Sus scrofa: one gene and its partner. The protein of the gene in region 2 interacts with the protein of the main gene of each other region in a biochemical or structural test. Links are inferred from orthologs where the notes say so. Each region holds a gene or a part of one and is shown on either strand. Other genes may lie near its edges. The genes, in order: ZMYND11 and ETS2.

Region 1 (3,808 bases), on a different chromosome or scaffold from region 2:
TTACCACTGATACTCTGTTGAAAATATGTTATACTTGACATAATAAGTTAGAGAATTATGCTTTTTCTTTTCTTGATGCTTTTTCTTTTCTTGATGCGTTACCACTGCAGGGTGGGGAGGTGTGGCAGATCCCACATCCTGCAGCCACTGTTGCCTTCAATATTTATTTACCCACGTGAACAATGTAGCATGAACAATGATGAAAGCTGCTGCGAAGTCCTATAAATAATGAAAGCTTTGGTCAATGGGACTGATGAGACCCTAGCTATCTACCTACGATTTTACAACTCAGGAGAATAAGGATTGAAAAAAGAAAGAACTGTCAGCCTCTGAGAGAGTTTACCATGACCACGAAGAAGACACAGTTACAACTCTGAATTGGGATGAGGTGTTGATGTATAAATAATTTTAAAATAAAGTCCTAGACGGTCCTCCATGCCCCGAGGCAATTGCTGGCTCTTGTCCGGCATCAAGGGGCACAGGGCTCTTTCGTGAATATAGACACCTGACCTCCACTCTGAACTTCTCATTACCTCCAGCTCAGGGATGTTCAAACCCTAGCACCGCCCAGCACTTCCAGGCCACCTGACTAAACCCAGCTGGGAACACCTGCACCCAGAATTCCCCAAGGACTCTCACAGCCTATATTTTGGTATGGACGGCAAGCTCCTGAAAGCATAAAAATCACGTCTTCCTCTTCATTTCCTTTATGGTATTTCTGTTTACAGCCTGCCCTTGCTAATAAGGCACCATCGACCCAGCCATTGGGTTCCACAGGCCTGAGAAGATCAGACGGGGAATGCGGGCGGTGGGGGGCATGCAGGGAGAGGGCAGCAAGGGCAGCTGAGTTCTTCATCATTCTCAGAGCCTCAGAGTCAGAAGAGAGGCTACGCAATCTGGGGTTAGAAGGGAAAATTAAAGTTGTTTGTATGAACAACCTTAATTTATCCCTTTCACTGAAATCATCTGCCTCAGTCTTTCTCAGAAATTAAGCAGATTAAGACATGAGCAAAATGATTTATTCCTGTGGTTTCCCTGTTATGGACAATGGTATGATTTTAAAACTTCAAAATGACATAAGGTACAGATCAGCACATCTACAAACCTAACTGGACGCAGGTCAAAGTGTTCACTGAATTTTACTGTAATTTGTAATTAAACATTAACAAGCCCATTAGCAAGCCTCAGCTAGAGTAGGTGAAATTAAGAACTTGAATTAAGAAGAACCACACTTTCTAGTTAAAATCTTTGTTCAAGTTCATGTCACTGTTTCTCAAGACTCTTGATCAGTTCTATGCTCTAGTCTTCCCTTGACAGAGACTCCTAAGCACTGGGGTTAAAACTAGGAAACCACACCCGGGTGTTAATTACACCGACCAGACAGCGTCAGGAATCTTTTCCAGGCCTCTTAAAAGATGACCCCTAGTGAGCACTGGAGGGAGCACAGTACACGCACAAGGGCGCAGGTGCACAGCCAGGGCTGCGCTGCCGCGGCGCTTTACCTCCTGTATGGCAGGGACGTCCACTGCCGAGTGCACCAGCCGCCGGTACATGGGGTGCTTGTTGTCCTTCCCCTTCTTATTAAGGTCGATTGCCTGAAAGGTTGTGAGACATGTCCGTTTAAAACATGGCTAGAGAGACGGGCGAAACACAAACTTCTGAACAAATACTTTAGAACTGAATGAAAAATGTACATGTGCCGTAGTTTAATGTGGCATTTCTTCAGGTTTTTATAGAAAGAACATTTACTTTGGAAAATTCAATTTCATTTAAAAAACTAATTATCAATGAAAATGTTCATTCTGATAAATGGAATTTTAAATGTAAATGTTTCTAATCTAATGCAGCTAAAGAAATGCCTGTGTCAAAAACAAAAACAGGGAGTTTCCATCGTGGCTCAGGGGAAACAAATCTGACGAGTTTATGTGAGGACGCAGGTTCAATCTCTGGCCTCGCTCAGTGGGTTGATTATCTGGCGTTGCCGTGGGCTGTGGTGTAGGTCGCAGATGAGGCTTGGACCTGGCACTGCTGTGGCTATGCTGTAGGCCAGCGGCTTTGGCTCCGATTGGACCCCTAGCCTGGGAACCTCCATATGCCGCAGGTGTGGCCCTAAAAAAAAGGCAAAAAACAAAGCTAAAACAAAAAATCTAAAACCAAAACAAACAAAAAAACAAAGACAAAACAAACAAAACAAAGCTAAAACAAAAAATCTAAAAAAATACGACAGCAGTGGTTTCCACCCTTCGTACTACTCTTTAAATATTTGTTACTTGTCAATCATTAACTTTTAGAGACTAAACCAGAGTGAAGCACATCTGGGGAGACTCTGAGAGCCCCACCCCCATCCCAGCCCCGGACGCACCCGCTCCTTCATGCGGGAGACGATGAACCTCAGGTATGTGCTCATCTCCTGCTTGTTTGTGTTTTTCTTCTTGATGCTCTGTTGAAAACAAAAAGGTTGATGTAAAATCTGATCATTTATAAATCTATATACATATATAAAGACGTCTATATATAAGAGATTATAGTGTGCAAAGATTTTCTTAGTATGCATCATTTCCAACATTTCAAAATTTGCACAGCAAAAAACAGCATTTAATGTAACAAGGTAAGAACCAGAAAATATGTTATACTTGACATAATAAGTTAGAGAATTATGCTTTTTCTTTTCTTGATGCGTTAAAACTTCAACCAAGTTTCAGATGAAAAGAAATAATAACTATAATAATAATGTTGATATAATAATGATATAATGTAGAATCACTTATTTTTATAAAAAATATCGATGGCTGAAATCCTGTAGGGGATATTTTAAATGGCAATATTACATGGTGAATTTCAATATAATATTCTTCTTTGTTAACAAGGTTATTAGAAGCCTGTCTCTCTTAGGAATTATGCACCTGCAGCAGACACATCCACATATCTTCTTAAACGTGCTACGGAACTCTTCAGTACCAACTCCAATGGCTATTAGTCTTGCCTAAAAGCTAGTCAGACTCCTTAATTTATCTCTCAGATAATTTAACTTCACATGAAGAAAAAAGACGGGATTCTACCTTTTATGTCATTTCTAGACGGCCAGCAAACAAGGGCCAATGCTCCCATTTCCTTAGTCAAAGGCAAGAAGACACCACAGCAGACACTGGACTGCAAGCAGGCTGCACTGCAGAGGACTGAGTAGGCTGGGCCACTATCTGATAGACGCTTTAACTTTGTCAGGCCACTGGATGATGATTCTCTACCCAGTTTTATTATTATTTACTCCCCAAAGAACTTTATACACAGGATTTCTCTCAATATGCTAAATATGTGGAGGAAGGAGCAAACATTTCTCAAGCAAATGAGAAATCTTAGCCATGGCTTAAGCAAATTGATTATACATACACAGCATGAAAATATCTGAACACAAAGTAAAAAAGATTTCCTGAGCATCTGAATTGGAATTTCTGGGGGAAAGCCCTGTGTCCTGCATCTACTCGGTCATTTGTATGTTAATTTCTCAGGTGGCTGTGATATCTGGCCAAGACCAAGAACCAGTGGTGCAGATGTGGAGTTAAAATGCAATGCCATTTCCTGGACCCCAGGTTACAATCCTGGGGGAAGGAGGCTTTGATGTAGCTTATACATCCTCGTTTTTAAACAAAATCCCCAGTGATACCCAGGCACACAAACATGTGAGAACTATTAGCTGACCCTCCAGTAAGCCAGAGCCAAACAGAATGATTCTCTCAAAGGGTCTGAAGCACAATCAGCTATTAACACTTTTGTGCAAATGTTCTTGCTGGAAAGGACACCTTCCACGCAC
Region 2 (4,420 bases):
AGAAGGGAGGCTGCTCCTCTCTCCCTTCACAGCACTGCAGTCCCTGGCCTTGCCTAAGCTGAGCTATTGTATTTTCTATCCACCCCTGGGCATCTAAATATTTCTCCAAGGAGTTCCCGTCGTGGCTCAGCAGTTAACGAACCTGACTGGCATCCATGAGGGCGCAGGTTCCATCCCTGACCTCGATCAGTGGGTTGAGGATCCGGCATTGCCCTGAGCTGTGGTGTAGGTCATAGACACGGCTCGGATCCAGTGTTGCTGTGGCCCTGGCATAGGCTGGCAGCTACAGCTCCGATTGGACCCCTAGCCTGGGAATCTCCATATGCCGCCGGTGCCGTGAAAAAGAGAGAAAAGACAAATAAATAAATAGATAAATAAATACTGAGAATGTGACCGGAATCTGAATAGGAAATGTGTGCATTTCTAGCCATGGACTCAAGTATCTCCTGCTAAAAATGGAAACTCTGGGGGGGAAGGGTGACGGTTTTGACCATAGTTGGAAGTCAGATAGCCTGGAGTTTCAACCCTGAATTTCCCACTCACACGTCCTATGACTCGGCAAGTTATTTACCCAAAGGGCCCATTCCCTCATGTTTAATGTGAGGACAATTATCCTGAGAATGAGCCCAGGGAAGCTCTTTCAAAGGCTGGTTCCTACTAAGACACCGCTCAACTCTAGGGGGCGCCACTTCCTCGGAGGCGGTAGGAACAGGGCTTCCCGGAGCAGAGGGGCGCTCTGTGACCCAGAAAAGGGCCCACCTTGTACGTCTATCATGTCTTTTAGTGTCTTTTCAGGACAGAAGAGTCAGAAGTCCACGAAGAGGTCCAAGAATTGGGCCAGAAATAGTCCCTTATGACCCAAGCCCTGTGGCCGCTCGGTGGCACCAGCACTGCTCCAGTCCTGCCAGGACAGGTTTTGGTGTTAAAGTCTCCGCACCAGCGGAAGAAACCAAAGAAAGACTCTCCTTCTGAGCTCCCGGGACACACACAGGGCTCGAGTCCTCGGGGTCCCCGGCCCACCACGGCCCCCCGAACCGCAGGCAAGGGACAGAGCCCAGTGACAGCGGGCGCCGAGCGAGGCCGGGCTTGGAAGGACTGGCTCCGCCCCCTGCTCTTCTCCTCCCCCCGCCTCCACTCCGCTCCCCTCCCCTCGGCTTCCCCCCTCCCCTGCTCCCGCCCTCTCGCGACTTTGCTCCCTTCTCCACCCCCACCCCTCCCCTCCCGATCTCCTCCCCTCTCCCCTCCCCTCTCGCCTTTCCCCTCCCCCGCCCCCCTCCTCCCCTCCCCGCGGTCGCCTCCCCTCCCTCCTCCGTCCTCCCCCGGCTCCTGAAGAGCGCGCAGCGAAGGGGACCGGCCAGTTACTTCCTCCAGCGGCGGCGCGGAGCGCGGTATCGCCCCAGCCCTGAGCTCCCGGAGCCCGCCGCCCGCCGCTCCCTGCCGGCTCAGGCCTGCCGAGCGCCCTCCCCGCGTCCCGGCCCCGCCGCCCGCGCCCTCCCCGGCGCGCACCGAGGAGTCCGGGCCCCGAGTCGCCGGCCGCCCTGCCCGAAGCGGCGCGGTAAGAGCAGGGTCGGGCCGGGTGGGCGGCCAGGGTCCGGCAGGTCCGGCGGGGAGCGCCCTCCGGGCCCCGGTTCCTCTGCCGAGGGATCCAGAAACGGCGTGGAGGACGTGGGTGGCGCGGAGAGCCGGATCCCAGGGCGCAGCCGGGGTCCCGGAGGGGTGGCGGCTATTCCTAGGATCCAGGGGTCGCGCTTCTGAGATCCGATCCGCTCAGCTCGTGGTATGGATGGCCCAGTGGCTTTGGGGGCGGCAAGTGGGGCGCGGAGTGGGCCCGGCGATGACGCGCGGAGCCGGCTGCGAACTTGGGCCGCGGTTCTGGGGTCGCCGAGCCGGCTGGGGCGGGCGGGGCGCGCCGACTTGTTTCACTTGCTTTTGTCTTAAAAGGAAACGCGGGCGTGGTGGGGGGCCCTTGCCAGTGGGCGCCTGGGAGACCTGATATCGCGAAGGGGCTGGGGGACGCCGGAGAGGGTGTCGGAGGGGCCCCGGCGCGCCCGGGTTTGTGGGTGACTTACTGGAGGGCGCCGGGCCCGGGCAGATCGGGGTCTAGGGGCGCATGAAACACCTTGGAAGCTACGGATCCCCGAAAACAGGCGGATCCCAACCCCCCGGTCACCTGCTCCGCCACGTCCAGGGCCCGGCCGGGGCGGCGGGCGAGGGAGGCGCCGGGAGGGTCCTGGCGCTCGAGCGAGACCCCCGTGGGCGCCCCAGGTCCTCTATATCTCGGGCCCTCGGTCCTGCTAGGCGAACCTGGGGAGCCAGTCGGAAGTGGGGATGTAGGTGCGCCAAGCTGCCTTTCCCGGTTCTTACAGCATTTTAGATGAAGAGGTAACAGCGATTGTGCGTGTGTGTTTTTTAAAGCACAAGAGATTTTTTTATATTATCCTGTATTCAATTATAGGGTATCCTAAAATAGTAGTTGACGTGCGACTTATTTAGAAAGTAAAGAAGTGAGCCAGTCCCCCCTTTGGATTGAGAGGTAATTTATTTTAATTTACCACTGAGAGATGATGTTTGTTCCGCACAGTGGAAGCGCCTGTGCGCCCTGTGCCTGCCCACACCACCGCCGATCAGAGAGAGAAATCTCCCAGTTAAGGTTTATTAAAATTCTGAATAATATCACAGTACAATAAATGTTAGCGCTCTGGGTCCTGCAGGAAAATAGCTGAACACTCATTTCGGGAATTAGTCATTCCTGACTCTATAAATTGATAACCTTCAAAGGAAAAAGCAAATCAATCTTCGAAAGTGCGTTTTGAGGTTTTCTTTTTCTTTTCTTTTCTCCTCAAATTTACCGAAATACAAACCCGTGTTCTAATCTCGCAGAAGGAATCACTTGTCCCCCGAGGGTACCGTTGGCCGGCAAGTTTTGCTTGTTTAAAAATGTTATCCTTCTCAGCCCTTTCGTGGCTGCCATTTCCCGTTTGTGTTGTTGTAGTTCAAAGGCAACAATCAGGAGGGCACCCCCCCCCCAAAAGACCTAAATGTGAAATTGACTTAGGATGTGGAGAAACTTGGCCTGTCTGCCACCTTGACTGGCCTCGTGGAGTCAAAGACGGGAACTTAAATTTGATTAGTTATGTGTCTGCCAGAAACCATTGGTAGCGCGCTTTGATTCTACATGGTTTTTACAAAACAAATTAAAAGCTGGACAACAAAAGAATTCTATTCTGTAGCTAGTAATTACAGCTCTCTGTGTGGGAGGGGTAGACTGCCTTTCCTCCTGGTGTTTGTACACAAAAACCAGGCGAGGCTTAGTCCATTGCCCTCCACGTCCATTCTCTGCGAAGCTGAAGTGTGGGATAAAACTGGACGAAGAAGATGGATAACTGTCCACATCCTTTCATTCGGCTCCTGTTTGAAGCTTGTGAATGTCATCAGCAGGTGACAGGACGTAGTCGACCCAGATAAATGGCAGAAAGTTCCATGAACCTTAAGGAGCATTTCAGGTAGTAAAGTCTCACGAGCAGGAACCTTGTCTAATGAGACTTGGGTGCCATCGCTGCTTTTTTTTTTTTTTGATGAGCTGGGAGAAGGGCCCCGGCCGCATCCCTCGGGTTAATTGGGCTCCTGGAGGAGCGAAGGAGGGAAGGCCATCACCGGCCTGGGACTGGGTCTGCGCAGTGCCCCTTCGATGCCCCTGCTGTCGCTGCGTCCTCCTGCGCCAGGCACCTGAGGTCTCTGGATCTTTGTTGCCTCGCGGTGAGAGGTTACATCTACCTCTCAGGGCTCAGGCCTTTCAGCCAGCTGGGCTGGTGGGATCGTCCAGCTCAGGCTGAGCCCTTAGCCAGGGCAGCGATCATCCGTAGTGAGTACTGATCTTAAGGGCCTGTGGAGGACACCGTCCGATCCATCAAGGGGAGATTCTAAGCAAACCTGATCCCTTTTGATCCAGGACCATCCCTCCTCCCAACCCCCACCCTCACCCCCCACTCTTATTTATTGTCTAAGCTTCCAGCCTCCACTGGCAACCACGAAAATTCCCCTGCGTTCTGAGGGCTGTAACAGCTGCCCCCAGCGCCTCGGGCCTCCCCGGTGGCTGTCACTGTGCTGTCCTCCTCCCATGGGGCTTGTCTAGCCAAGGGGTGTGTGTGTGTGTGTGTGTGTGTGTGTGTGTGTGTGTGTGTGTGTGTGTGTGTGTGTGTGTGTGTGTGTGTGTGCTGAGTTGTTGGGAGGTCTGGTTTAGCCATAATGTTGACCGTAAAGAGAAAACAAGAACGTACAAACTCGAATGAAGTAGTTATGGGAAAAGTATGCTCTTTGCCTCCGCCTGTCAGCTCTTCCATTGCACAATATTTTAATTACTCAAGGTTCTTAGAGCAGGTGGGAACCACCCAGTGGGGACCACAGGGTGGGCAGTTAGGGG

What was found.
Region 1: the proteins of ETS2 (region 2) and ZMYND11 form a complex in vitro, tested with the Homo sapiens proteins (2 studies listed by BioGRID). The link is inferred for Sus scrofa from reciprocal best matches to the Homo sapiens genes ETS2 and ZMYND11.

What each region holds. Positions count from the first base shown.
Region 1 is NC_010452.4:69,183,840-69,187,647, forward strand, and holds part of ZMYND11 (zinc finger MYND domain-containing protein 11), read right to left. Parts: intron 2,441-3,808; coding exon 2,363-2,440; intron 1,596-2,362; coding exon 1,503-1,595; intron 1-1,502. UniProt on the Homo sapiens protein: Chromatin reader that specifically recognizes and binds histone H3.3 trimethylated at 'Lys-36' (H3.3K36me3) and regulates RNA polymerase II elongation. Does not bind other histone H3 subtypes (H3.1 or H3.2).
Region 2 is NC_010455.5:202,463,014-202,467,433, forward strand, and holds the start of ETS2 (protein C-ets-2), read left to right. Parts: upstream 1-1,327; 5' UTR 1,328-1,555; intron 1,556-1,758; exon of another isoform or gene 1,759-1,777; intron 1,778-4,420. UniProt on the Homo sapiens protein: Transcription factor activating transcription. Binds specifically the DNA GGAA/T core motif (Ets-binding site or EBS) in gene promoters and stimulates transcription.